7 linked regions of the Ovis aries genome follow. The protein of the gene in region 5 interacts with the protein of the main gene of each other region in a pairwise test. Links are inferred from orthologs where the notes say so. Each region holds a gene or a part of one and is shown on either strand. Other genes may lie near its edges.

Region 1 (4,274 bases), on a different chromosome or scaffold from region 5:
CTGTCCAGAATCTAATGTATACAACGTGAACAAGAGCAAGCAGATGGCCCACCAGCCACCAGGGCAGTGGCCTTGTAATAAATACCATGTAGTCTCTGCAGACCCCGGAACAAGGCTGAAAACGTTCAACGGTGTTACGAAAATGGGCCTGACCTTGCAGACCCCAGAGCCCCTGCCTCAGCCAGAGCGCCCGTGGTGCCCACTTGGCCAAAGAGGCTCCTTACTCTTTGGGTCGCTGTTTCTCAGGCGCCTTCTTTTCCTTTGTGCTGTGACCACCACTGTCTCCACTGTGCTTTCTCTTCTTCCCCAAGTGCTTCTGCATCTCCCGCAGCGGGTCCAGGCGGCTCTTGATCCTCTCGTCGGGCCCAGGACCAGAGGCGGGGCCGCCCGGCCTAGGGGGCAGCTGGTACCATGGGGGCTGAGTCTGGGCTTCCGCTGCACTCTGTCCCAGGTATGTTAGGATGCCCAGGGCTTTCTCTTGCCTCTCCTGAGGGAGACAAGATGTGAAAGTGAGAACAGGAAGCATGTTCCCTCTCAGGCAGCCAGGGTTCCCGCAGAGGCAGAACCAGACATTCAGCCAGCAGAGCCCGTCAGGAGCCGACTCTGCCAGCTGCTGGGACTTCAGAGATGAGTCCCCGGGGTGCCCCTGCTCTGGGGCACCAGGACAGCTTCAGCAACAAACAGCATAGGAAGGAGGGGACTGCTTATGTTAGGGTTCAAAGGCAGCATCTTTGAGGAGATAGAAAAGAAACTGTGAAGCCAGCCAGGTAAAGCAGTGACTGAGGGGGGAGGGGCGGGGAGGCAGTCTGATAGGAAACCCCGAGGGCAAGTGAGGGACAGCGTCTGATTTACATTTTAAGAAGCTTAACACTTCCCAACATCTTCAAGGTTTGCACATCAGGTTAGAGACCTGAGGGGGTCTACCTAGCACCCGGCAATAATCAACACCTCTTAACATGCTATGTTCTAATACTATTCTGAGTTCTCTAGCTTGTTTAATCCCCACCATCTCCCTAAATATTCCCGTAATCACACCTGAGGGCAAGGTACACCCCCACCCCTGGCTCCACCCGTGACCCGAGGAAGAGGGTAAGGCCACCTTACTTTCTCCTGTCGCTTCTCTTCCTCGTACTCTTTATTGCCTCTCGTCGCCCCCTTGCCTTCTTCCAGCAGCTCCCGAAACAGATCCACAGGGCCAGAACTGCATGGGGCTCCCGTTTCTGCTTCCAGTGCAGGAAGTGAGTTCTGATGCCTGGCTTTCTTCCGTAGGAATTCTGTGCGGGCCTGGAGGGAAAAAAAGTTACAGGCAGAACATTCAGAACCTAGCTGTAGCCCAAGGGACTCTTGAGCCTAGTGCTGACCACTGCAGTGGTAAGGGCTCGAAGGAAGGGAGCAGGGGCACTGGGAACCCAGAAGAGGCACCTGACTATTCCTGGGGAGAGGGTGGAGCAGTGAGGCAAGGCATGGTTTGTAAGCCATCTTCCAAACAGTAAACGAGGGGGTTTCATTTCTGACACAATGAAAACAGCTATAAAGGCAGCCAAAACATCTATTAGGACAGGTGATCTGAATTCCAGGAAGGGCGCTGAGTCATTATGCCCATTTGATTTCCAATTTCTATTGATAACCGTGAACTTAAAAAATATTGCTTTGGCTGCATCAGATCTAGTTTTATAGCATGTGCGATCTAGTTCTCTGATCAAGGACTGAATCTGGGGCCCCTGCATTGGACGCCACTGGGCCACTAGGGAAGTCCGATAAAGGTGAGCTTTAAAAACCCTGACTACCTCCCAGCCAGTGCTGACGATCGGATTAGTCAAAGGACTGGAAGCTAGGTGTAAACCAAACAGGTGAGGAGTTAGAGAGACTCTCTAACGTTTGTGCGCAGCGGTGCAGGCAAAAGGCACGCCTGGCGCAGCGGGACTGGCTTGAGACACTGTCGCTTCGCTGTGGCTCCTCTGAAGCCATCTCACTTCTCCGCCGAAGGGAGATAACCGCCCCGCTAAGAACGAACAGGGCTCGAGAGACTGCAAATCAAGCGCTTTGCACGGGATGAACAGGGGAAAGCGAAACTGAAGTCGCTCAGTCGTTTCCGACTCCTTGAGACCCCATGGTATGTAGCCCACCAGGCTCCTTCATCCAGGGGATTCTCCAGGCAAGAATACTGGAGCGGATCGCCATTTCCTTCTCCAGGGGATCTTCCCGACCCTGGGGTCGAACCCGGGTCTCCCGCACTGTAGGCAGACTCTTTACTGTCTGAGCCGCCAGGGGACAGCAAGAGCTCACTGCACAGGGTGTTTGTACAGCTAAAGTAACAAGCGGCCCGAGCTTCCGTGAACTGCCCAGGGCTCCGATTACTCACGACCCCCTACTCCGGCCCTCCAGGAGGACCAAGGAGAGGTCGAGGGGAACGTCGGCACGGCCCGCAGGCCCAGCCCGCCCGGGAGCCGGGCCCCAGGTCCGCCAGGGTGGCCCGCTCCCCGGCGCCGCCCCGCTCCCCGGCGCCGCCCCGCTCCCCGGCGCCGCCCCGCTCCCCGGCGCCGCCCCGCTCCCCGGCGCCGCCCCGCTCCCCGGCGCCGCCCCGCTCCCCGGCGCCTGCGCGCTGAGCCGCGGCGCCGCGTCCGCCCGGGCCGGGGGCTCACCTCCTGCTGAGCGAGCAGCGCCCTCCGCTCACGCTCTTTCTCCTCCTCACGGGCTCGGGCCTCGTCACGCCGCACGCGGGCGACATTGTCCTTGTTCCGGACGTGCCAGCTCTTCTTGGGTAAAATATTCATGGCGCCTCAGCCGTCCGCGGACCGACAGGCCCACCTCCTGGCACTTCCAATTGGCGAGAGGCAGGCCCCGCCCCGTTGCTCCTTCCTCGGCCACGGATTGGCTCTGCGCTGCCTGACACGACCCCCCAGGGCTGTAGCGAGAGGTGACTGGCTGCGGGGCCCACGTCCCCCGTCTCCGAGAATCGCGCGTGGCGTCGCCTAGCGACCGCCGCTCCCCAAGACTCTGATTCAATCACGTGTCCCCGCCCCGAGGCTCCTGAACGCAGCCGCTGATTGGCTGGCGCGGTCTCTCTCGCGGAAGAGTCCGCCACGCTCTCAGAGCCACACATTTGATTGGTTTATGTCCTGTGAAGGCTTGCCCCAGCTTCTGGACCGGAGATTAAAAAGCACTCAGCGGCCTCCGCTGTGTTTATTGACACAGTACTAGATTCATTGATACAGTACTAGAAAGAGGTTCACTGGAGGGTCGGGGCCTCAGCAGGGAATCCCAGGGCTGGAAAAGCACGGGGTCTTCCCCAGTTCACTCATTTTCCAAATGATGTTGACGAAGCTCAAAAAGGATCTGGGAGCAGGTCTGGGGCTGGAAGTGGGACGTCACCCCAAGCCAGGCTGGAGAGGTCAAAGAGTTCTGTCGGCCGAGCTCAGCGCCACAGCACGCTGTGCCAGGAAGACTTTATTCTGCGCCTCCTGAGGGAAAGGTAGAGGGGAGGTGAGACACATCTCTCCCCTGTGTTCTTTTTCATACTCTCCAGGACCCCTTCCCAGGGGCCAGGCCTGGCTCACCGTCTGTATCTGGCGTTTGAGTTCAGAGATGAGGCGTCCATATGAGTTAGCCAGGGCCACTGTATACGCCATCAGGATGCTAGCGGAGATAAAGTGGAAGCCACTCCGCAAACGTTCTCAGAATATCTTCCACGTAGGGCTTTTTAGAAAGCAGGGGTCTGGACCTCCTCCTTCAGACTCAAGGAGTCGAAGCATCCCAGCCCCCTCCTTCCCGAAGACCCAAGAGTTTGGGCCCCAACCCCCTTCTCTCTCGGAAGCAGGCAGCGGGACCCCAGGTCAGACATTCAGAATCAGACCCAGGAGTCTAGCGCCCTCACCTGGAGATCAGCAGAAGGGGCACAGCAAAAGCCTGGGTACCCAGGAAGAAGAGAAAATTCTGGGCCATCTGAGGCAGTTTGCAGATAGACTCGGGGATCGCCACCCAGATGGACGACTGACCCCGGAATGGACCACACAGCTTGGAAGGTGGGATCCTGGAATCAGAGATAGGCAGAGGTCAAGGATGGCCCAAAGTCAGAACCCTGGACAGGAGGGTGGAGGGTGGGAGAGGCCGGTACCTCCCACACTTACAGGAAGATGCTATAAAGCACAGGAACCGCGGAGATGGCCAGACCCAGGAGAAGGACCAAGGGGAAAAAGAAATTCACAGTGGAGGCTCGAAAGGTGCGGGAGGCCGGGGAGCAGGTGGAGAAGAGGGTGATCTGGCAGGAGGGGATG
Region 2 (3,935 bases), on a different chromosome or scaffold from region 5:
AAAACCTTGTGGTAATACCCAGGTGAGGAACTGGTTTACTAAAAGGAGATGAAACATTCCAGAGGACTGAGAGCCTTCCCCTGTCATTAGACAACCAGCCTTCCAGCAGCCCATCAAGCAGATGCCTCATTTCCTTCCCATCACTCTGCCCTTGGACACCACAGTTGGTGTCTGCTGGTCCCAGTTGAAACACCCAGAACTGACACGGTGCAAGCAGCCTCACCTGCGTTTCCCAGTGGGCTCTCTGTGTGACTATTTTTTATAAGCACTTACAAGAGCTTCTGGTAACATGTCAGGGAGCGGGCACCAAAAGCAAAACATAAATGAGTTTATGGGTTGCCTATGATCCCTATCTCAGGCTCAAAGGACGAAAGGATGAACTGACAAAGTTGGATGGCAATTCTGGAGACCCAAGGCCTGGAAGCCTTTAGCAGGGGGGCAGCCCAACCCCTCCCCATGTTAAAGAAAAGAACCCACACATTAAAAATAAATGGTCTTTTATTGTGTCCACGAAAACAAACTCAGGGTGGCCTTTGGTTAATCCCCCCATGAGGTGACGACAAATAGGAGGCATGCGATGACCAAAACCATGTTCTCCTCTCCAGGAGAAGGGTCTTGCCCTCCTAGGCCCGAAGGGTGACAGGCAAGCAGGGCCAGGAGGATCCAGAGGCAGGCCCACCCAGGTCCACCATGCCGCAGAGGGCCCAGGCCTGCTGCCTCCCTGGCAGGACAGGGCAGGGGTCAGCAAACATTGCCCATGTCCTGGTAACCCCAAGCTAGAACACACAGAAAAGCCCCAACCCCCCTCCCCCAACAAACACTGATAAGGCAGTCAGCCAGGGCTTCCAAGAGGAGCCGGCCTCCAAGGTACGAGGTCAGACCCTTAGGGCTCTGCCCAGAAAGGGTTGCCATCCTCGGCCTGCATGGAGTAGTAAACAAAGAGCAGGAAGGCAGCAAAGACCAGGAACAGCAGCACCTGGCCCCAGAGCGGGACCTGGCGATCCTGGCTCAGGCCGGCAGCCCCAGGGGCCTGCTTTTCAGGCCGGATGGCTCTGCGGGTGAGCCACGAAGGGGCCGAAGATGAAGATGAGGACACACTCGAGGTGGAGGAGGATGTGGGATAATAGGACAGGCCCAGGGAGCTTCTGGAGATGTTGGAAATAGGGCGGTAGTGTGCAATGTTCTGGTAGGCACTGTCCCGGCCATACAGGAGGCGTTCCCTGAGGCAAAGAGTGCAGTAGGTAGACCAGGAGGGCTTGAGTCCTGAATCAGCCCCAGCCCCTGGCTCGCCTTAATACTCACCGATCCTTGCCTTCCTCTTCCAAAGAGAAAAGATTGTCATCACGGACCTACAGAAGTGAATCAGAATGAGAATACCTATTGACAGGGTCGGTGTAGGTATGACAGGTCATACCCTCAGTCCAAACTGCCCTTCCCAGCCTGTTCTGAACACTGATTAAAGGCCTGGGCCCTGCCACCCTCCAGACCCCCTTCTTGGTCCTCAGCCTTATGTCTGCAGGGCCGTGCCACTTGTCCCGGCTGCCTGCATCCTACTTTCTGCCCCAGAATTCTCAAAAAGAGCTCAAACCTAGATCCCAGACCAGAGCCAGGGCACGTCCTGGGCACACTAGTCAAAACAGTTCTGACAGCCCCTTCCCCCACCCCAAAGGTCTTGACCAGGCAGGTGTCTGCAGGCCCCACCTCTCCCTGGAGGTTTCTGAGCCACCATTTGTGCCCAGTGGTTCCCTTGACTCATCCAAACCCCATGAGGACCCCCTCAGGTTGTACCCAAGTACAGGGTGCCCGACAACTCAGCTCACCTGGCGGTGAAAGGGGTCAGCATCTGAGAGTGAAGCTGAGGGCTGGCGGAAGCCCTTGGATGTGCCCATAGACTCAGGCTCCCCGTAAGTCCTGGTGGTCAAGTAACTCTCCTCATAGTAGTCATCATTATAGCCTTAGGAAGGGGGGGGCAGCGGTAGCAGAAGGGGCAACGGTGTCCCCACCTGGCCCGATGGCCCTAATCTGAATCCCATTGGGGGGGGGGGTGCTGCAGGGCTACTGCAGGACGCATGGGGTTGAGGTCTCAGGTTCTGGCTGACACTGGAAGGAAGGTGTCAGAGTGCCCACCCCACCCCTGCCTTACCCTTGCTCTGGTAAAGTAAGGCGTCCTCTTTCTTGGGCAGATCATACATATCCGAGTCCACGGACGCCGAATCTAAGTCTGAATGGGGGAGGGGCTAGGACCATTGGCCCACAGGGGTCCCCTCCCGTTTCCCCCGCGCCCCTTCCAGCCAGTGCCCTGGCCACACCCCCGCGACCCCTTCCTCAGCGTCCCCCAAACCGTGTCCCCAAGGGCGGCCAGGCGGGGCCCTGGGACGGGAGCCTCACCCGAGAACCGATAGGAGAAAGAGGATGCGGACGAGCTCGGGGGCGAGAGCCTCCGCCTCTGGGTCTCATACTCGAAGATTTTCTTTTCGTAGAGCTTGCGAGTGGAACCTGATCAGACGCGGGGCACAGGGCGGTCAGGGAGCGGGCCGAGAGGGGGCCGCGGGGCTAAGCGCGGGGAGCGGGCCCGCCCTCCGTCCACCGCGTACCGACGACGGGCCCGTGTGGGATGTTGTACTGGCGCAGCACGGCGGCCAGCTCGGAGTCCGAGAGGACTGCGTAGTCGTCCATGGCGGGCAGCGGGCGGCGGAGGCCTGGGGGAGGCCTGGGCCTTGCAACACCGGCCGAGAGACGATGGCCTCGGAGCGCGGCAGGGGAAACAGGAGTGCCTCGGGAGCGGCTACGCGCGCGTCACGCCCGCGTCACAGTCTCGGTCTCCGCGGGCAGCGCGCGCTGTGCGGAGCGGGGCCGGGCCTCGCAGAGAGCTGCCAGCGCAGATTGGTGGAGCCTCGCGAATGGGCGGGGAGGGGCGGGGCTCCCGAGCCCAGAGACGTCACACGCTGGCGCATTTAGGGCTGGACCCCAGCGAGGGGGCGGGGCCTGGGCGCGACGGGAACTAGCTTAGACCCGCCCCGGCTTGGGAGCGGGGCGGGGCCCGCGAGCCGCGACGTCACCCGCTCGGCTATTTGGGTCAGAAGGGTGGAGGGGCGGGGCCTGTGGCCATGCAACCGGCAGAAACTGGGCAGGATGCGGGAGCTGGGCGGGGCTGCGCGCTGGGCGGGGCTCGCCCTCCCTGAGTCACGTGGAGTCCGCTCGGTCTCAACTGCCCCTCTGCTCCAGCAATTGCGGGTCCCTGGCCGCGCCCCAGGCGGGCGCGTCGCCGGCGGCTGCGAGAAGGGGCCTGATCCGAAGGGGCAAGCCCTTGGAGAGCACGGGTCCAGACTAGGCGCTGCTGCACGCGCAGTGCGCGCGCGCGCCACACCAAGGAAGCCTGTAGCCACCTGACCATAAACCGCCCCCCAGAGCCCCAGACCCCCTGCCCCAGCACGCCTTCCCGCTCTGCAGGATCCTGGCCTGCGCCCGCCGGTTCCCACCGCCTCCCTCCCTCCCCTTGCACCCCAGAGGAAATGGGGCACTGGGCCAGGAGGCCACCGGCCCTCCAGGAGCCAGCAGCCTTGGAAGGGGCCCGGGCATGCCAATGGGCACTGGCATGGGGCGCCCTGTGATGCCGAGATGGCGGGTGTCTGCCTCACCCACCGGCAGTGCACCAGAGGCGCGAGGGGCTTCCCCACCGTGGCTGGGATGGCCCCTGAGCCCAGCGTGACCCAGGAGGCTGCCAGAGGGACCTGCCCCAGGCTTCCGATAATGCACTCTGAGCACCTGGGTCTCAGTGGGCTTCAGGGTCGTGGGAGTGCAGAGGGAGCCTCCCAGACAGGGGGGCCAGGGGACTGAGGGGGGCAAACCATGGAAGGCAGCCAGGGCCTGTCACAGGGAGTTGGTGAGAGCCTTGGTCAGGAAGAGCTGTCCCATGAAAATTAGGAAGAAGATGA
Region 3 (3,976 bases), on a different chromosome or scaffold from region 5:
AGCCTGGCAGTCTGCTTACAGAGGGTTGCAAAGATTCAGACATGACTGAGCGCCAGCATGGCACAGCTGCTTGCAGTAGCGATAGGAGCCTGCAGCCCTGCCTTCTGGGCGTCAGTTTGCCCCCCTCCTCATCCCTGAGGTCTCAGAGATATTCCTAAGAATCTTCAGGCTCCAGGGGGTCATTTGAAAACTTCCAATCTAGTCCAGTCCCTTAGTTTCATGTGAAGAGAAACCAAGGCTGAGAGAACATAAGGGACTTGTCCACTGTCTTAGAGCTGGTTCGAGGAAAAACTAGAACTGGAGCTGCGTCTCCTAAAACCCAGCCTGGGGCTCTGCAATTTCTTGGTTGTGGTGGTTGAGGATAATTACCTGCAATCTGTTTTGATTCCCTAAGTGAGACCCTGGAGGAGATCCATGGCCCCTGCTCCAGCTCCATCTCCCTGTCTGAAGCCTGAAGCCAGGCTGGGGTCAGGGAGTTAGGGAGACTAGGACCACCTTTCTTTCCTGGGCTAAATGAGGCTCCTGAAAAGGCTCTTTGAGCCTTTTGTCATCTCTGACTCGTCTCTCCTGCCCAGGAGTATGGATAGGAAAGAGTGACCCACAGACTTCAGGTCAGGAGGGCTGGGCACAGAGGGGGGCCTGTGCTGCCCCATTCTGTGGGGTGCAGAAAGCAGAGTCCCCTGCCTTGACAATGAGCATGGCTGACCCCAGCTGGAGGACGCACCACATCAGGGGGCTGTGTTGTTGTAGAGGGAGGAGTCCCAGTATCTGTACAGCCACAGACGAGCCCTTATCCCAGCACATCCTCTCCAGGAGTAAGGCGTACCACATTCACAAGCCTCCACACGCCTCTGCTCCTCCCCGCAGAAGCACAGGCAGAATCACGCACACAGAACACATGCGAACACACTCACATGCCACATAGACAGTCACATGCAAGCATCCATACACAGACATAAGCACCCACGTGCACAGAAAACACACACACGCACACACATGTACACCCCTCCCCCCGACTCCAACCGCCACGAGTGTCCACCTACAGGCAACGGCCACACACACAAAGCACTGAGCGTCCAGCTGAGGGAAGGATAAAGGAGGCTGCTGGGAGTGTCAAGACTGGCTAGGGGATCAGACAGAACAAGAAGGAGCCACTGCCTACAGAGACCAACTCCGAGGTCAGGGGAGAAAGGGCCTTGACGTGGTCCCCAAATTCCCTCCTCCTTACCCATGACTTATCCCCACGAGCCAGTCCTCCTCAACTAGGAAGAATTCTCTCTCCATTAAGTAGAAAGAGGTGGCTTTCCCAGTGGCTCTGATAGTAAAGATTCTGCCTGCAAGGCAGAAGACTGGGTTTGACTCTTGCGTGGGGAAGATCCCCTGGAGAAGGAAATGGCAACCCACTCCAGTATTCTTGCCTGGATAATTCCATGGATAGAGGAGCCTGGTGGGCTACAGTCCATGGAGTCACAAAGAGTTGGACACGACTGAGTGACTTAGCACCGAAGTAGAAAGGAAGGAAGAAGCACCCAGCCAGGCAGAGAGCCCAGGAAGGAATGCTGATCTCCTGGCCTGACTTGAACTTGTCCTATGACCTTGGCCAAGCCCCCCATCTTTGCTGAGCCCCTCTTTGCTCATTTAGGAGATGACTTGACTCCTGAGGCCTTAGAGGATAGGGGAACCATCTCTGACTCCCAGTCTGGGGGTAGGAGGGGAAAGGACTGTTTTCTGAAAGAACCAGGAACAGCAGAGAGGTAAGCCCCAGACCCTGGGAGCGGCCGTGGAGCAGGTGCGGTGGGAGGGCACTGCGAGGGCGGCCAGCTCTTACCTCCTTCTCGGCCTTGGCCTCTTCCACGGTCACGGTGCTGTGGTTCTTGTGCTCCTGGAACATGCAGAGGTAGCAGATACAGGTCTGGTCGGTCTGGCAGAAGAGCTCCATAGTCTTGCCGTGCAGGGGGCACTTGCGGGCCTCGAAGTCCCGGATGGGCTCGAGCAGCTGGTGGTCGCGGAAGGCGGCGCCCTCCAGGTGGGGCTTGAGGTGCAGCTCGCAGAAGGAGGCCTGGCACACCAGGCAGGACTTGACGGCCTTCTGCTTGTTGCCGATGCACGAGTCGCACAGGACCTCCTCGGAGCCCGACTTGGAGCGCAGGAGGGTGCTGGAGTCGCCCCGGGGGTAGCTGTTCCGCCGGACATCTCCGGGCTCCAGGATGGACACCGAGGGCTTCCGAGGCTCCGAGAACATAGACCTGCGCGGCTCCCCCTTCTCGGCAAAGGAGACAGGCGGCTTCTTGGCAGCCCCCAGCTGGAGCCCGGCGTAGGGCGACCTCCTGCCTTCCCCAGAGTCCATGCTGAAGTAGCTGGAGCCCTTGTCATCCACCGACTCGACAAACTGGATAATGGGCCGCCGCCACTCGCTGCCGGAGAACAGGGAGCTCCTGCCTTCGCCCGGCTTCAGGGCGCCGCCTGCGCCCTTGCCCTCGGCCACCTCCCCGCCGTGCCCATTGGCAGTCTTAGCCTCTTTGTCTTCAGCTTTGACCCCATTCTCCAGGCTGCCACTGGGGCTCAGGGGGCTGCGGACATCCCTGACTTCAGGGCTGGCCCCGTTGCTCCTGGAGGCGTCTGCAGCTTCCATCGCGGCTCACCTGGCTGGTCTTTGAACGCGCTGGGGGTTCAGGTGGGTGACCTCTCGGGCAGCGGCGTCTCTGCAAGAGTGAGACAGGCAGCCACGGAGCCCGAGACACACCTACCGGGAGCCAAGAGGAGGGCCTGACACAACGGGCGGGCAGGAGAGGCAGGCGGCTCCCAGAGCCAGCAGAGCAGCTAATTATACAGAGGGGCCACGCCCTGCACATTCATACCTAACCTGGTTTTTTAAAGAAGTGTTTTTATTCTTCCCCAGTTTAATTATTTTCCACAGCTCAGCAACCAGTTGCTGCTTCCTTCTGATACACTTTCTTCTCATCAGGAAAGCGGGAGCCTCTGTCCTCGCAGGTGGGCAGGCTTCGCTGAGCCAAGCCAGCCGTGGGACAGAAGGTGAGGTGTCCACAGAGGCCCACAGGACTCAGGGCTATTTAACTGGGTCACACAAGCCAAATAATCTTGAAACGTGATGGCCTGGGTTTCAGAGGAATATCCCCCTGCCGCCCTGAGACACTGGAGTTGCTTCTTATCTTTTTTTTTTTTTTTAATTTCCATCAAAAAGTTTAGTACTTTTTTAAATTAGAGGATAATTGTTTTACAATATTGTGTTTGACTTCCTGTCTTAAAAGGAATGGTGGGTTCCACTTGATTTGGAGCTAAAATTTCAACCGAAGGCCTTTGAGAACCAACAGCCACCTGACTATCTCAACGGAAGACAGATTCAGGAAGTCACGTCCCACCCAGCAGCCCTAACAAGATGCTTACGGCTTTATGTTATTTCTATCAGAGCAAGTTAGAACCTGCTTGGATCCAAGGGACAGGGAGACAGCAGTGAGGGACAGAAACGCAAGCAGTGCCAGGCCAGGCGGCAGCGTCCTCAGGGCCCCCACCAAGGGAAGGGCTGTGCCTCTCCCCGGCCGGGCTGGACTGGACAGAGCAGAGGTGGGAGTGGCTGGGGTGGCAGGTTCCAGGCTGTGTGTAGGGGAGTGGGTTTCCTTCCCCTCGAATCCAGGTCAAACTCTGGGAGCCCCCGCCCCTTTGGCTCACCAGGCCGAACAGCTAATCCTCTGCAGCAACAGCTCCTGGGAACGAGAGCAGAGACAAGCTTAGCTCCCCAAGCAGCCAGAGTTTTAAGAGGAGGTGTGGGGGCGGAGAGTGCTGCTTCATCAGGGGGATTCCCTCTCACCTTGTGTCTCCGTTCTCAGGCTCCACAGGAGCCCCGACTCGTTTGAACTCACTGGTGAGTGGTCTAAGAGTTCGTGGGGGCTCCTGGGGGCAGGAAACACTTTCTCAAAAAGTCTTGCTCAGGACTTCTTTGGTGGACCAGTGGCTGAGA
Region 4 (4,275 bases), on a different chromosome or scaffold from region 5:
AGCAACCCTGGGATTTCTTTGGAGGGAATGATGCTAAAGCTGAAACTCCAGTACTTTGGCCACCTCATGCGAAGAGTTGACTCATTGGAAAAGACTGTGATGCTGGGAGGGATTGGGGGCAGGAGGAGAAGGGGACGACAGAGGATGAGATGGCTGGATGGCATCACGGACTCGATGGACGTGAATCTGAGTGAACTCCGGGAGTTGGTGATGGACAGGGAGGCCTGGCGTGCTGCGATTCATGGGGTCGCAAACAGTTGGACACGACTGAGCGACTGAACTGAACTGAACTGAACTGAATGCCTGCCTGTTGTCCTGAGCTGTAGACATGTCTCATGTGGACAAGCTGTGACCAAGCCCTGATGTGTTGCATTAGTTAACAAACAGACCAGAATTTATATGCAAATGAGACCTGCTTCCTTCAAAATCTCCACCTCAAGAGACTCAATACTTTGTCAGCGATGCTGTGATGCTCAAAAGGCCACTGGGCGCTTCCCTGTGGCTCAGCGGTAGTTTGCCTATCAATGCAGGAGACAGGAGTTCCATCCCTGACCTGGGAAGATCCCACATGCTGCGGAGAAACTAAGCCTTTGTGCCACAACTACTAAGCCTGTGCTCTAGAGCCCGGACCCCACAACTACTGAGCCCTAGAGCTCGTGCTCTGCACCAAGGGAAGCCACTGCAATGAGAAGCCTGCACACTGCAACTAGAGAGCAGCCCCTGCTCGCAGTTAGTAGACAAAAGCATGCAGCGGACCCAGCACAGCCAAAATTGGAGAAATAAAATTATTAAAAACACACACCACTGGAACATCTCTCTTGGAAGTCACTTCAGCATTTGTAGCACTTTCTTTTCAGGATCTGTGGCAGTAGCTTTCTGCTTTTTCATTTTTAACTTAATATTTATTATACACTTATCTATCCCAGGCACCAAGCCGGAGCTGGCTGAAAGATAAGATAAATCGATCATTTAGTCTGTCTCTAAGGGAGTTTCTGTTTGGTAAGGGAGGTAAGATCTGGACACCCACTACAGCACAGGGTTAAGCAATAAGGCTCCAGGGAGGTTGGACCTGAGTTTTGGAAAAAGATAAAAGTCCTCTGGTTTCAACCTCCCAGCAAGAAGGGTGACTGAGGTCTGTGATTGCACCCTGTGTCAAGCTAGTATCTTTTGAAGACTTAAAAACAAAAACAAAACTCCAGAAAACAAACCCAATCGCTAAATCCATCCTGGCGTATTTAAGACGCAGACTCCCCACTTTCTGGCGATGCTCCACAATAGATCGAGTCTTCCCAGCTCAATGATAAGCTCTGAGAGGGCAGGTGCTGAGGTCTTCTCCTTCGCTGTTCCACAGTGTCCGGTGGGCGAGTGACAGACGCAGGATCAGGGTTAGACGCGTCTCCGGCCACGCCACACGCCCGTCATACTGGCATCCGGTCCCCTCGTGCGCGGCTCTCAGCGATGACCGCGATGCAGGCCGGAGCCGGGCGGAGGGGAGCGGCCGAAAGACTCTGCGGGGAGGGCACCTGTGGGCTCGCGGAGCTCCTGCGTCCTGGGCCCCGGAGCGGGGTCCCAGGTGGATGGGCCCCGTAGGGAAGAAGGGCGCAGCTGTCCGCGCGCTGGACGCCCGCCCTTTCGGGGCCGGCGCGGAGGGAGAGGCGAGCAGGAGGCCGGGCGCGAAGCCAGAGCCCGGCCCGCAGGGTCGGGAGGAAGGGTTCCGGCCTCGGCAGAGAGCGGGGGACTGGCCGGCAGGGGCGGGAACCCGGGCCGGGGAGGAGGAGGAGAGTCGGGGCTGAGATCAAAGGGGAAGCACGTGTGCCGGGCGATGGCCCCGGCCGGAGCCGGATGCCGAGGTCACAGCCGAGGGTCCCCGCGGCCGCCCCCGGCCCGCCCAGCCCGCGGCCCCTCCCCGCGTCCCAGTCTCCTCCCCGAGGGCCCGGGGCTGGGCCGCCACTCCCTCCAGCTCCCGCCCTCGACCGCGCGCATCTCATTCCAGCCCTCATTCCGCGCATTCCAGGCTTCCTCCTTTCAAACCCGAGGCCGGGGGCGGGGAGAACCCGCAGCTCCCGGCTCCGCCGCGCTGCCGCATCCCCCAGGTGAGTGGCCCGGACGCCGCGCCCCTCGGTCGCGCCGCGGGCGCTCTTTCCTTCCCGCCTGGGACCTGCGCGCCGGGCCCGCTGTCCCCCTCTCCCGTCTCCGTTCTCCCGCTTCCCTCCCTTCCGCCCTCCCGCGCGCGCTCTGTTCCCCCAGCTCCCTTCCTCTCCCGTTGACTCACCCCGCCAGGAATAGGGATCGCCCGTGCTTTCCCGTCAGTCCCCTTCTGGGAAAACTCCGCCCTCTGCTCCGCCCCGCTCCGCGCACCGGCCGCCGCGCGCTGGACACCGCGCACCGGACACCGCGCACCGAGTACCGCGCGCCGGGCGGGGCGAGCTGGGTTTGGGCCCGCGCGGAGTCGGCTCCGTCCCGCGATCCGCCTTCATCCCGGCTCAGCCGGTCGGCCCGGGGCCGGAGCCCGGGTCTCCGCTCGCCGACCCCGCGTTGTCTCTGCAGCGCCCTCGCCCGCCTCGCCGGACCTCAGCGGAGCCGCGGCTGGAAGAGCGGCGCCGCGGCGGACTCCGCGGGGCTGGCTCCGCGTACCCGCCCACCTCCCCGCACCCTGGGACCGGTAAGACGGCGGCGCGGGAGGAGCTCTCACCCGGGATCGGACTTGGGGGCGAGCCGGGCACGTGGAGTCGCGCGAACCGCGAGGCTGGGGTGGGCGCGAGGGCCAGAAGGAAGGGGAGCGCGCGGAGCCGAAAAGATCGGAGGCCGAGCCCAGGTCGCCGGCGGCCGAAAAGAGACCCAGCGCCCGCGCCTCTCTTCTGCTGGGCGCCTCTCGGGCTTGGAAAGGGTGTCCTGGCGATTTCAAGCCGAGGCGTTGCGAGAGCGGAGAGGACCTCCGCCAAAGGTCCCCATTTCCCAGGGCTTGAGAAGCGTGGTGCGCTCCGTGCTGGAGGCCAGTGAGTCTGAAGAGCAGAGCTCCACAGCCCGAAGCGAACGTTTCCCCGGAGGGCGAGCAGACCCGGGACTCGCGCCTCTGTGCGCTTGTGTGTCGAGGGGAGAGGGGGTTCGGGGCCAGACCTGGCAGGTCAGTGATGATTTCACGTGGCGTGTGACTGTGCCGCCTCCTTAGCTCCGGGTGTCTGAGGGTGATACCTGCTCACCGATGAGATCACCTACCTTTCAGGAGGCATGTTTGTGTTGAACGGGAGCGCCTTTCCACCCTAGAAAAGCGCTGTTTGTCTGTAAGCTGAGCGTCTTGGAGGACTAGCGAGATGCCACGTCTCTCAGTGTGTGTTTCCCCTGTGAGGATGTTCCTGGGCGGGACAGTCCTCCCTCCCTGCAGGAGCGGGGGCAGGACAGCGAGTCTCTGGTGGTGTCTGTGCCCAAGGAGCTGGCGGTGGTTGTGGGGCTGTGTGGTCCCCGGGCTTCATTCGCCCTGGACCCGCGAAGCTGCAGGGAAGCTGTGCACACCTGCCTCTCGCAGGCAGCTGTCTTTCTGGGGAGGTCGGTTTTGTTCTTGCCTGGAAGAGTTTAGGGAACACGTTGGTAGCAAGTTTAGGGAAGCTGAGATTCTTGCCTTTCCATGAAGGGGTGGGTTGTTGATAGTGAGACTTGGGCATGTTTGTGGGAGGGGTTGGACACCCTCCCCCCAGAAAGAGCTCATTTTGCATCTTGAGATTTGTGTAGGCAGTGCTTTTATTTTTTGATTAAAAAAAATACAATTTGTAAAAGGTACTTTCCATTTGCAGTTACAACAATACTGGCTATACTCCCCGTGTTGTACAATACATCCTTGAGTTTGTACCTGTCTGACACTCAATAGTTTGTACCTGCCCTTCCCCCACCCCTAGCTTGCTCCTTCCACCCCCAACTCCCCCACTGGAAACCAATCGTTGACTCTCTATATGTGTGAGTCCTATGTTATATTCACTAGTTTGTTGTATTTTTTAGGTTCCACATGTGAGTGATATCATATAGTATTTGTCTAGACAGTGCTTTTAAAGTTGGCTCCAAGGACAGGGGTAAATTGAACTACTGGTCCAGCTCTCCTTGGAGCCGCCTGGGGGTCAAATGGAAGGACCCTCATTCTTGTTGACTGACTGGACCACCATGTAGTGAGAATGTTTTCCTGCCCTCCTAGTGGGGAAGGCTGCCTCTGATTCACTGGGTTGACCTGTGGGGAGGCCCTTCTGGATAGCTGTTTCCTCATCTCTTCCTTTCTGCTATGCCTTCTGT
Region 5 (3,500 bases):
GAACACCAACAGGTCCAACACTGCTGGCCCCAAGCTGGCAGGCTAAATGAGGGCAGAACACCAACTGCCTGCAGCTTCATACCAGGAATTCTTAGTATCTCGCGCTGTTTCTCTCTGATCCCTGAAATTTAACTTATCACATCCTTCCAATGCTGCTAGCATAAACTGAGGGGACAGCCAGACCCTGCCTAAGGAGTACTGTCCCTTTAGGCAGCTAAACACCTTGTATGCAACAGGTACACATAATGCTGTGCCAACAGAAAACATTTATAATGATATACTGTTTCTAATCTGTAATGTCTTACACAACTATTGATTTTTCCTACAAAAGATTTCTTTCTTTCAACTACAATAAACACCCAAGTTTTAAAAGAGGTTTTTAAAATTAGGAATTAAATATTCAATGTTATAACATTGCTATTTCAATAAAAACTAAAAAATTTATAATCAATAATTCAAATATCTATTGAGCATCTACAACTAATAATAAAGCAGACATTTTCTCAGCCCTAGACAAAACAGACAAAAATATCAGCCCTCATGGAGCTTGCATTCTAACACAGAGATATACAAACAAAGTGTATAGTATATCAGCATGTTAGATGGTGGTAAGAATTATGGATAAAACAAAGCAGGGAAGGCCAGATGATATGTTGGGGGATAGGACTGCCAACTGTAAGTGAAGCAGTCAAAAAAGGAATCCCGGAGAGATGGTGATGTGACACTTGAGTAAGCAGAGAGGAAACAAACCACGCAGCTAAAAAACCACGCATGGTAGCGGGAAAAAGAACAAAATATACAAAGTCCCTGAGGTGAGAATGTTCAAGGAAAATGTTCAAAGAAAATCAAGAATGCCAGTGTGACTGGAATAGAATATGCAAGAGGTGCAACACAGGGACAATCATGCAAGATCATGGTAAAGAGTTTTGGATTTTTCCCTTAAAAAAAAGAAAAAGTGAAGTTAGAGGGTGCTACAATGTTGAGAGCACATTGAAAAAGGCAAGGCTTGGAGTAGGGAAACCAAGAAAGACACAAGAAAGAAATGAAAGTAACTTGGACCAGAGTGGAGACTAAAAGACAAAAGTTTGGGGAAGAAATCCAGGTATGGTTTTGGACATGTTAAAAAGTTCTACATGCCTAATTAGCCATCCAATAGAGATATCAAGTAGGATGCAGGATGTGAGTATGCAATTAAGGGAAGAAGCCTGTGCCACAGATTTAAAAGTACTATGACTTAGACTGAGCATCACCAAAGAAGTTAGAATTTATAGGAAAAAGAAAGGTCGGAGAAGGCAATGGCAGCCCACTCCAGTACTCTTGCCTGGAAAATCCCACGGACGGAGGAGTCTGATAGGCTGCAGTCCATGGGGCGGCTAAGAGTCAGACACGACTGAGCGACTTCACTTTCACTTTTCACTTTCATGCATTGGAGAAGGATGGCAACCCAATCCTTCTTGCCTGGAGAATCCCAGGGAGGGGGAGCCTGTTGGTCTGCCATCTATGGGGTCGCACAGAGTCAGACACGACTGAGCGACTCAGCAGCAGCAGCAAGGGATGAGTACAACCCAGATAACCATGACGGTGTGATCACTCACCTACAGCCAGACATCCTGGAATGTGAAGTCAAGTGGGCCTTAGAAAGCATCACTATGAACAAAGCTAGTGGAGGTGATGTAATTCCAATTCAGCTATATCAAATCCTGAAAGATGATGCTGTGAAAGTGCTGCACTCAATATGCCAACAAATTTGGAAAACTCAGCAGTGGCCACAGGACTGGAAAAGGTCAGTTTTCATTCCAATCCCAAAGAAAGGCAATGCCAAACAATGCTCAAACTACTGCACAAGCTTGCACTCATCTCACATGCTAGTTAAGTAATGCTCAAAATTCTCCAAGCCAGGCTTCAGTAATACGTGAACGGTGAACTTCCTCATGTTCAAGCTAGTTTTAGAAAAGGCAAAGGAACCAGAGATCAAATTGCCAACATCCACTGGATCATGGAAAAAGCAAGAGAGTTCCAGAAAAAACATCATTTCTGCTTTATTGACTATGCCAAAGCCTTTGACTGTGTGGATCACAATAAACTGTGGAAAATTCTGAGAGATGGGAATACCAGACCACCTGACCTGCCTCTTGAGAAACCTATATGCAGGTCAGGAAGCAACAGTTAGAACTGGACATGGAACAACAGACTGGTTCCAACTAGGAAAAGGAGTATGTCAAGGCTGTATATTGTCACCCTGCTTATTTAACTTCTATGCAGAGTACATCATGAGAAATGCTGGGCTGGAAGAAGCACAAGCTGGAAATCAAGATTGCAGGGAGAAATATTAATAACCTCAGATATGCAGATGATAACACCCTTATGGCAGAAAGTGAAGAGGAACTGAAGAGCCTCTTGATGAAAGTGAAAGAGGAGAGTGAAAAAGTTGGTTTAAAGCTTAACGTTCAGAAAACGAAGATCATGGCATCTGGTCCCATCACCTCATGGGAAATAGATGGGGAAACAGTGGAAACAGTGTCAGACTTTATTTTGGGGGGCTCCAAAATCACTGCAGATGGTGACTGCAGCCATGAAATTAAAAGACGCTTGCTCCTTGGAAGGAAAGTTATGACCAACCTAGATAGCATATGAAAAAGCAGAGACATTACTTTGCCAACAAAGGTCCGTCTAGTCAAGGTTATGGTTTTTCCAGTGCTCATGTATGGATGTGAGAGTTGGACTGTGAAAAAAGCCTGAGTGCCAAAGAATTGATGCTTTTGAACTGTGGTGTTGGAGAAGACTCTTGAGAGTCCCTTGGACTGCAAGGAGATCCAACCAGTCCAACCTAAAGGAGATCAGTCCTGGGTATTCATTGGAAAGACTGATGCTGAAGCTGAAACTCCAATACTTTGGCCACCTCATGCAAAGAATTGACTCATTAGAAAAGATCCTGATGCTGGGAGGGATTGGGGGTAGGAGGAGAAGGGGACGACAGGATAAGATGGCTAGATGGCATCATTGACTCGATGGATGAGAGTCTGAGTGAACTCCAGGAGTTGGTGATGGACAGGGAGGCCTGGCATGCTGCGATTTATGGGGTCACAAAAAGTCGGAGACGACTGAGCGACTGAACTGAAGGGATGAGTCATGGAAAATGAGAAGAATCAACAAAGGGATCAAAAAATAACCAGTGGGGTTAGAGGAAAACCAGAAGAGAAGATATTATGGAAACAGCAAAGAAAGAATTTCAAGACAATGACAATAATAGGTAAAGGAAGATAAGGATCACTGAGTTAAGCAACATGGAAGTCACCTGTAACACTGACAAGGTGTTTTAAGACTATCATGTAAGAAAATGTTTAACTCAGTACCTGTAAAGCTTTATGCTCCTTTTGAAGTTCTTTTATTTTATTCTGTTGCTGGCAAACCCTATTTACAGATTCATCCTCCATTTCACCAATTTTGGACTTCACACTCTCCATAATTTGTTCCAAGTCATTAGCTCGTTGTTCCTGATC
Region 6 (4,091 bases), on a different chromosome or scaffold from region 5:
CCCTCCTGATGCCTGTGAAAGAAAGTGAAAGTGAAGTCGCTCAGTCGTGTCTTGTGACCCCATGTGACTCTTGTGACCCCATGGACTGTAGCCCACCAGGCTCCTCTGTCCATGGGATCTTCCAGGCAAGAATACTGGAGTGGGTTGCCATTTCCTTCTCCAGGGGACCTTCCCGACCCAGGGATCGAACCCGGGTCTCCGTCATTGTAGGCAGACGCTTTTACCGCCTGACCCGCAGGGAAGTCCCTGACGCCTGTGCTGCGGGGCCAACAGCGGCTGTGCAGTAGGGTGGCCCTGGGCCGGGGGCCTGGAAGCGCAGGGAGATGGTGCCGACCACACAGCAGCGTCCGGGGAAGGCCGCGACACTGCGACACTCCTCCGAGGGATGAGGGGGTTCCCTTAACCCCCGAACCCCTCTCTCACCCTCTTCCACTTCTCTTGAAACAGAAGCCGCCTGCGTTTCGGTCCGGGGCCCCACGACCCGCCCACCTCGCCGTGTGGCTCGCCCCCGCCCTGCTTCCTGCTGCCAGAGCAGCCCCGCCAGGGCTGCAGCTCCTCGGAGGACTTTGCTGACCACTCCCCGCCCTGCTGGGGCCACTGTTACAGCGTCGCTCTCAGTGACAGCTATTCATGTCTGTTTACGGGCCTTCTTTATTTTACTGTTTATGTTTTTTGTGGCTGCGACGGGTGTTTGTTGCTGCACATGGGCTTTCTCTACCTGTGGCCAGCAAGGGCTATTCTCTAGTTGCAGCCACAGGCCTCTCGCTGCGGAGGCTTCTTCTGTTGCAGGGTTCAGGGTCTAGGCTCCGCGCCTTCAGCAGTTGCCTACTGTGGGCTCTGCTGCCCAGGCACGTGGGATCTTCCCAGACCAGGGATCCAACCCGTGTCCCCTGTGTTGGCAGGCAAGTTCTTAACTGCTGGGCCTCCAGGGAAGCCCCCTGTTTTCCCACTGTTCCCGCCCCACTAGCAGGTGGTTCCCTTGAGTAGCAGGTACGTTCCCTTGAGTAGCGTCCCTTCATCCAGAGCAGTGCCTGCAACCTCTCCAGTATCTTGCCTTAAGAATCCCAGGGACAGAGGAGCTGGCGAGCTACAGTCCATGGGGTCGCAAGAGTCGGACACGACTGAGCGACTAACCCGCCACCACCACCTGCAACCTAGTAGGTCCTGAGTGGGTCTCGTCCAGGCGGTACTCCAAGCGCCCGCGCCCCACCCACAGCGCGCACAGCCCCCGCCCCGCGGAACTCTGCGACGCAGACTTGTTTCCCTCGGAGCGTATTCGGCGTGGGACCCCAGCCCTCCTTGGTCCCAGCGGGAGCGCATGGCGGTAAGCGGTGTACAGGTGGGGAACGCCTTTGGGCGGTCGGCGGCTCCTCATGACCTTCGTCCTTTCCCCCTTTCCCCAGGCTCCAGGACATCCTGCTCGGGAGACAGCGGCAGCCCCAGGCCCAGGTACTGCCCGTGCACCCTGCAGCCCCTGGTTCCCCAGGCTGCTTCCTAAAGCCCCGAGTCCTTTCACTGTAAGGCCTCAGCCAGTCCGTCTGCTTAGGGCGCCCTACGTGCCGTGACTCTGCCTCGAGGACCAAGAAGCAAAAGAAGAAAATCCAGGATGGGTCGTCTGTTGCCAATGGAAGCGGGAAGACCCCAGAAAAACAGGCCTCCGAGGAAGCCCCCCTAAGCGCAGAGGCCCAGGCAAGGGCGGGCCTCAGTCGGGAAGGGTGAAGTCCCGGGCACGTACTGGGCGGGAGCCCGCCTGTGGGTGTAGTCCTGGATTTACAGCGGGAAGTGGGTGAGATGCGGCGTTTGGGGTTCCTATGGGATGAGGCTGGAGGCCCCAGCGCCCTGACGCCCGCTTACAGTCACTAACCACAATCCATCATAGGCTGAGCAGCTGGCTCGGGAACTGGCCTGGTGCGTGGAAAAGCTGGAGCTGGGACTGAAGATGCAGAGACCCACCCCTAAGCAGAGTGAGGGCCCATCTGTAGATGGGGGAGGGAAACGGTGACAGTCCTATGGCCTCAGGTGCTGCCAAGGGATGGAATTGTTGCCTTTGCGGTAGGACAGTTGGAAGTGAGGATAAAGGTTACTAGTCCTTTGTTTTCATTTGCAGAAGAACAAGCTCTTGGAGCAATCCGAACCTTGCGCAGCCAGAGAACCCCCCTGCCCCGGAAGAGGCAGCTGATGCGCTCTTTGTTTGGGGACTACAGGGCTCAGATAGAAGCCGAGTGGCGCGAGGCCCTGCAGGCTCTCAGGACTGGTGAGAAGCTGAGAACTGGTTGATGAAGAACTGCCTAGTTCAAGGGGGCAGAAGGAAAAGCCTGGGCAGTGAAAGGGGGAAGCCTCTAGCAGCGGGACTCCCACAGTAGGAGGGGAGTCAGGAAAGCCGCGGGGAGAAAGCCTGAGGCGCGGGTCACAGAACGCCGGCTTGGACTAGGGAGGCAAGGAGAGCAGCGTTAGTGAATCTCTGATTCTTAAGGGTGTGAGATGATAGTACTTACCTTATAATTTTGAGAAGCCAGTAAGTTAATTTTTACAATGAGTTTAGAGTTGTATGGGCAGTTAATGTTTGCTGCTGCTACTGCTGCTAAGTCACTTCAGTCGTGTCTGACTCTATGTGACCCCAGAGACGGCAGCCTACGAGGCTCCCTCATCCCTGCGATTCTCCAGGCAAGAACACTGGAGTGGGGTGCCACTGCTATTATTATTAAATTCTGATACTGTCCCTCTCTTCGCTTACAGCTGCCCACTCAGCCCAGGTGCAGCCTGTAGGTGAGGCTGCCAGAAAAAAGAGCCGAAGGGTCTGCAGACCTCGACCAGAAGGAAGGTCCAAGGGCACCTCGGATACTCGTGATGAAGAGTTTAGGTTTAATTTCTTTTAGCCTCTTCCCTAGAGTGGCCACCTCTGCAGTGGGGCAGGGTTTCTCTGGAGTGCAGCACTTTTCCAGGAATGCTGTGGGGGGCAGATGGGAGACCTGCATGTTGGGTGCTGACAAGCCCAGGACCCCATTTCTAGGTTTTCAGCTGAGATGTCCCTCCTGCCAGAATAGGGAGTTCCTTTAGATGGTTCTACAGTAGACTGAAGTGAGTGTTCACACTGTGTTGTAAAACAGCTGTCCCCAGCCTTTTTGACACCAGGGACAGATTTCATGAAAAACAGTTTTTCCCCAGAGAGGGTGGGAGATGAAACTCAGGTTGTAATGCAAGCAATGGGGAGTGGATATAAATACAGATGACTCTTTCCTTGTTCGCTGTCTTCATCTCCTGCTGTGTGGCCTGGTTCCTAACAGGCCATAGACCAGTACTGGCCCAGGGGTTAGGGACCCCTGTTATAAGACTCTCAACAGTCTCAGGAGCAGACTAAGTAGGTATTGTTAATAAGGGTTAGTGGGGAAGCTGTATAGTTGTACACTGGTGCTCACTTATGGAGGGATGTCCTCTCAAGTGGTATGGCGCTCCATACCATTGAGTCCCATTGCTGTAATAAAACTGTTTCTTATAAATGTGGATAAGCAAAAGCGTGTGCTAACTGTGCTGTTACGGGAAATGTAGACGAGGTGGTGTCAGGCGCTGCTGGGTCCAGGCTCTCACCCCAGGGCTTGGTCCTTTGTATCGCCTTCATTCCTGAGCAGGTGTCATCCTCAAGGAGCCAGTGTATCCCCCAGCAGCCCAGGCTTTGTTCTGAGGAGCAGGTAGCTTCTTGCCCTAAGAATCCTAGCCAAACACCAGCATTGAATCTCTGGGCAAGCTCTGATGTCAGCTGCTCCAGGTGATAGTCCCAGGACTTCTGCATTAAGTCGGGTTTTCACGGTGGCTTAATTATCTTGTGACTGTGATGCCATCTTTGGTAGTGTCTCCCAAACTTGCAGACTAGACAGAGACCCAGAGCCCATCTGCCTACTCAGCATCTCTGCTTTGGTGTCTCACAGATATTTCACACTTGACATGTTCACATCTGATTAGTCCCTAAATCTATCTGCTGCTTTCCAGTGAATTCCACTACTGCCCACCTAGTTGATTAGGCCCAAAATCTGTCATCTCTGCAAAAGGAGTTCCTGGATCCAGTTCCAAAGAGTGAGTGAGTGTGTCTGTGTGTG
Region 7 (3,500 bases), on a different chromosome or scaffold from region 5:
TGATAGACAGAAAGAGAGGCCCATTGTCTTCCAATCAGCACCTTCCAACTCTAGACAACAGTTTAGACCAACATCTGCACCTAAGCTCACTTAAAGAACACATGGAAGATTTTTAAAACATTACTAGACTCCCTCAGTAAGGAGAAAAAATAACCCTTAAGGAAACAATGATATAACTCATCTATCTGAGAAGAAATATTTATCTAGTTTATACTTCCTAAGCATACAAAGCCACAAGGCCTAAAAGTCACAAAAGGTCAAGGTCTCATCCATACTCCTCACCTTCAGTACCTCTTGACCAAAAAAACTGTTTCCTTAATAGCTATGGCCATATAACCATAATTTATTCACCTTACACTCTACTAGTCCTCGGTACACTTGAACTATGCACCATACAATGAGGTATTTGGAGATAACTGACATTCTGTTTTGTTTTTGTTGGAAAAATGAAAGAACTTTTCACTGGGAAGAGTTCTCAATAAACTGAATGGTGCATCATAGTTAATTTCCTTGTAACTAAATCTGTTATTATGGACAATAAGCCAGGAAGCAGGAATGCTTTTATCCAAGTGAACAATTCAGTGTTATCCTAAGCAGTGGTCATTGAAGAGCCTAAGAAGCTAAGTTGCAATGGAGCACTAAACATTTCTGAGTGATCCTAATTCCAGAGAGAAAGAAAACCACACAATCCACAGTGTCATGAGGTGGGGGCACACTTACCTAGGGAGTTACAGCCTGGTGTAGGACACTTCATGTTGAAATTGTAGCTTTCGTGGAAGCGGCGGCGCTTAGGGCGATGAGAGAGATCACTGCCCGAGTCCTTCAGGGACATGTCCTTGGCAATGCTCTCATCATGAGACACGTTGGGGCTGGAGATGTCTATGTCAGATTCAGAAGAAGGGGCATTTCCAGTTGGCGTTCGAGGTGGAGACTCATCATGATCAGCTGTATTTTTAGTTTCTAAAGTAAAACAATTGGTAAAACTCATGAACAGAGTGTATTTTACTTAAGAGGGTTATTACATTCAGAAGAGTTTACAGGCTTCCCAAGATCCTCTTTCTGTGATTTAATCAGGAACTTTTGCCATTTATCTGCCATAAAACTAAATGGAAAATGAAGAAAAACTAATAACAGCATTCCTCTTCTGCAACTTTAAATTCTGACTAAAATTCCATTTGAGGTTTACATGATACATTTCTCTCATTTGTGCTTCTCCTAAGCCCCAAATCATGAATAATCAAACCTGGATGGAAATAAACTTTTAAAAAACATTATCATCCTACTCTCTTGCTGGGAGATACATAGGATTGAATATAAATGAAAATGATTCTTTCTGGATGAAACTGAACACACCTGGTGTGAGTGTGAAGGAGAAGGCGATGGCACCCCCCTCCAGTACTCTTGCCTGGAAAATCCCATGGACGGAGGAGCCTGGTGGGCTGCAGTCCATGGGGTCACTAAGAGTCAGACACGACTGAGCGACTTCACTTTGACTTTTCACTTTCATGCACTGGAGAAGGAAATGGCAACCCACTCCAGTATTCTTGCCTGGAGAATCTCAGAGATGGGGGAGCCCGGTGGGCTGCCGTCTATGGGGTCGCACAGAGTCAGACATGACTGAAGTGACTCAGCAGTAGCAGTGAGTGTGAAAGGACTTGACTCTGAATCAGGTGTTGCAAACCAAATGCCTACTAGTGCTGAGCAAGGCCAAATCAAGAGCCAACTGTCTCTCTCAAAGGGATAACTACTATTCAGTTCTAGTCAGTTATGTGGTGAATGGCCACCTAATGTTCCCAGAGCTTTCCATTTTTCAAAAGAAACTAGTAACTCATGTTTTTACATAGAATCTTTGTTTTTTCAAATATTGGCCACTTTTTTTTTAAGAAAGTAAATATGATGCCATCAAACCAACAGTCCATGTTGGCAGGCTAGAAGTTCAGTAGTCCATAGTCTTGGCTGTAAGGCCTCTGATTTGGCCTGGTGAATCACAGCCTCAATAGCCTACCATTCATTCCCCATTACTGACAGTCATTCCTCCTCAGAACTTCAGACATAAATGGACCCATAAGCACGACTGTAAGAAAATCTGCTTTAAGCCTTCTTCATCTGTGAGTAAGAGGTCGTCAGTTTCTTTTGCCTATTGCAAGCCAGATCAAATAATAATCCAGCTACTCTGGACCTCAAGAACAGCAGAGTATCAAACTGTCCTCAGCAAGAGGTTTAAGAAAGGAATCAGACAAACTGCAATCACCCAGCTGAATTCTGTACTGGGCATCTATCTGCAGCGGCTCCAAGCCTCTTTTAAGATGAAACTGATTAGATCCTCTCTGTAATGACTCCAAATCACCCACACCCACTCACCTCTATCTGAGAAGTCAACCGCTTGTTCAGTTTCTGAGCCAGATGAACGAGTCTGCCGAAGTGGGTATTTTTTCGGAGTCACTGGAGTAGGCTGCTGCTGACTACGGGTCACTCTCCTGGTAGAGTAAGCAGGCTCCTCAGTGCCAAAAGACTGCAAATTTCGAACAGGACTGGAATCTGATCCCGATTTTAAAAATAATAAAACAATTAAAGAAAAAAGAAAGAAATCTGTTTTATATTCCATTAGTGTGACTTATTAGCATGTAGGTTCTCCTAAATATAAGCAACATAGAGATGGCAGAGAGGTACAGTACAGCACAGAACTAATGGCTTAGGCACTGGAATCAAGATTGAATGTAATTCAATTCCACTTCATCATACTAACTAGTTGGGCATACTGGGCAAGTTAATCTCTCCAAGCCTATTTCCTGATCTATTTTTAAAAAAGGGAAAATACTAGTAACACATTCCTCACACATTCGCTGTGAGAAATAAGTGAAATAACTCACATAAGGGACTTAATAAGATCCTTAGATATCTAAATGTAGTGCTTTATAAATATTAGCTACATGCTCTTTCTTTCTTTAACCCACCAGAAAAGAGATACTCTACTACTAAAGATATAACATCTTTAGTAGTTCTGAGGAGGAATGACTGTCAGTAATGGGGAATGAATGGTAGGCTATTGAGGCTGTGATTCACCAGGCCAAATCAGAGGCCTTACAGCCAAGACTATGGACTACTGAACTTCTAGCCTGCCAACATGGACTGTTGGTTTGATGGCATCATATTTACTTTCTTAAAAAAAAAGTGGCCAATATTTGAAATAACAAAGATTCTATGTAAAAACATGAAAAACCAATATTTCCTTTCTTTAAGGACCTTTTTTCTTCCTGATTACCCTGTCTGACACTCTAAAACAAAATAATACTAGATTCATAAAGGGCAAGGCAGGGCTACAACTTTAAAAAGTTTTGGATGCAAAAATCTATTCTGAAGCAGCCAACAGTTCTTTTACATCTCCAATCTAAAGATACTTACAGGAATAAAGGCAATTCAGAAGTTAAAGTCTATTTTAAACAAAAAAAGATCCTAATATGTAAATCTTACAGATTCTTCAAAGAAAACTGAAAGTCTCA

What was found.
Region 1: the proteins of CEP70 (region 5) and LENG1 interact in binary tests that used the Homo sapiens proteins (3 or more experiments, as listed by UniProt). The two-hybrid records come from large-scale screens. The link is inferred for Ovis aries from reciprocal best matches to the Homo sapiens genes CEP70 and LENG1.
Region 2: the proteins of CEP70 (region 5) and EMD interact in binary tests that used the Homo sapiens proteins (3 or more experiments, as listed by UniProt). The two-hybrid records come from large-scale screens. The link is inferred for Ovis aries from reciprocal best matches to the Homo sapiens genes CEP70 and EMD.
Region 3: the proteins of CEP70 (region 5) and TRIM29 interact in binary tests that used the Homo sapiens proteins (3 or more experiments, as listed by UniProt). The two-hybrid records come from large-scale screens. The link is inferred for Ovis aries from reciprocal best matches to the Homo sapiens genes CEP70 and TRIM29.
Region 4: the proteins of CEP70 (region 5) and TEAD4 interact in a two-hybrid assay, tested with the Homo sapiens proteins (2 studies listed by BioGRID). The two-hybrid records come from large-scale screens. The link is inferred for Ovis aries from reciprocal best matches to the Homo sapiens genes CEP70 and TEAD4.
Region 6: the proteins of CEP70 (region 5) and C9H8orf33 interact in binary tests that used the Homo sapiens proteins (3 or more experiments, as listed by UniProt). The link is inferred for Ovis aries from reciprocal best matches to the Homo sapiens genes CEP70 and C8orf33.
Region 7: the proteins of CEP70 (region 5) and KAT7 interact in a two-hybrid assay, tested with the Homo sapiens proteins (2 studies listed by BioGRID and IntAct). The two-hybrid records come from large-scale screens. The link is inferred for Ovis aries from reciprocal best matches to the Homo sapiens genes CEP70 and KAT7.

Annotation. Positions count from the first base shown.
Region 1 is NC_056067.1:63,980,614-63,984,887, reverse strand, and holds the start of LENG1 (leukocyte receptor cluster member 1), read right to left. Parts: upstream 2,801-4,274; 5' UTR 2,775-2,800; coding exon 2,643-2,774; intron 1,285-2,642; coding exon 1,105-1,284; intron 488-1,104; coding exon 225-487; intron 1-224. Other genes in the region: TMC4 (transmembrane channel-like protein 4), read right to left, coding at 3,393-3,461, 3,558-3,636, 3,875-4,030, 4,128-4,258.
Region 2 is NC_056080.1:80,070,509-80,074,443, forward strand, and holds EMD (emerin), read right to left. Parts: upstream 2,801-3,935; 5' UTR 2,677-2,800; coding exon 2,595-2,676; intron 2,497-2,594; coding exon 2,389-2,496; intron 2,222-2,388; coding exon 2,144-2,221; intron 1,955-2,143; coding exon 1,821-1,954; intron 1,350-1,820; coding exon 1,303-1,349; intron 1,221-1,302; coding exon 884-1,220; 3' UTR 481-883; downstream 1-480. UniProt on the Homo sapiens protein: Stabilizes and promotes the formation of a nuclear actin cortical network. Stimulates actin polymerization in vitro by binding and stabilizing the pointed end of growing filaments. Inhibits beta-catenin activity by preventing its accumulation in the nucleus.
Region 3 is NC_056068.1:30,425,500-30,429,475, forward strand, and holds the start of TRIM29 (tripartite motif-containing protein 29), read right to left. Parts: upstream 2,801-3,976; 5' UTR 2,633-2,800; coding exon 1,829-2,632; intron 1-1,828.
Region 4 is NC_056056.1:212,673,494-212,677,768, reverse strand, and holds the start of TEAD4 (transcriptional enhancer factor TEF-3), read left to right. Parts: upstream 1-1,475; 5' UTR 1,476-1,822; coding exon 1,823-2,093; exon of another isoform or gene 2,094-2,284; intron 2,285-2,330; exon of another isoform or gene 2,331-2,662; intron 2,663-4,275. UniProt on the Homo sapiens protein: Transcription factor which plays a key role in the Hippo signaling pathway, a pathway involved in organ size control and tumor suppression by restricting proliferation and promoting apoptosis.
Region 5 is NC_056054.1:251,194,955-251,198,454, reverse strand, and holds part of CEP70 (centrosomal protein of 70 kDa), read right to left. Parts: coding exon 3,354-3,500; intron 1-3,353.
Region 6 is NC_056062.1:13,261,976-13,266,066, forward strand, and holds the start of C9H8orf33 (UPF0488 protein C8orf33 homolog), read left to right. Parts: upstream 1-1,291; 5' UTR 1,292-1,318; coding exon 1,319-1,324; intron 1,325-1,403; coding exon 1,404-1,449; intron 1,450-1,546; coding exon 1,547-1,689; intron 1,690-1,879; coding exon 1,880-1,964; intron 1,965-2,107; coding exon 2,108-2,254; intron 2,255-2,736; coding exon 2,737-2,876; 3' UTR 2,877-4,091.
Region 7 is NC_056064.1:36,570,451-36,573,950, forward strand, and holds part of KAT7 (histone acetyltransferase KAT7), read right to left. Parts: intron 2,539-3,500; coding exon 2,362-2,538; intron 961-2,361; coding exon 721-960; intron 1-720. UniProt on the Homo sapiens protein: Catalytic subunit of histone acetyltransferase HBO1 complexes, which specifically mediate acetylation of histone H3 at 'Lys-14' (H3K14ac), thereby regulating various processes, such as gene transcription, protein ubiquitination, immune regulation, stem cell pluripotent and self-renewal maintenance and embryonic development.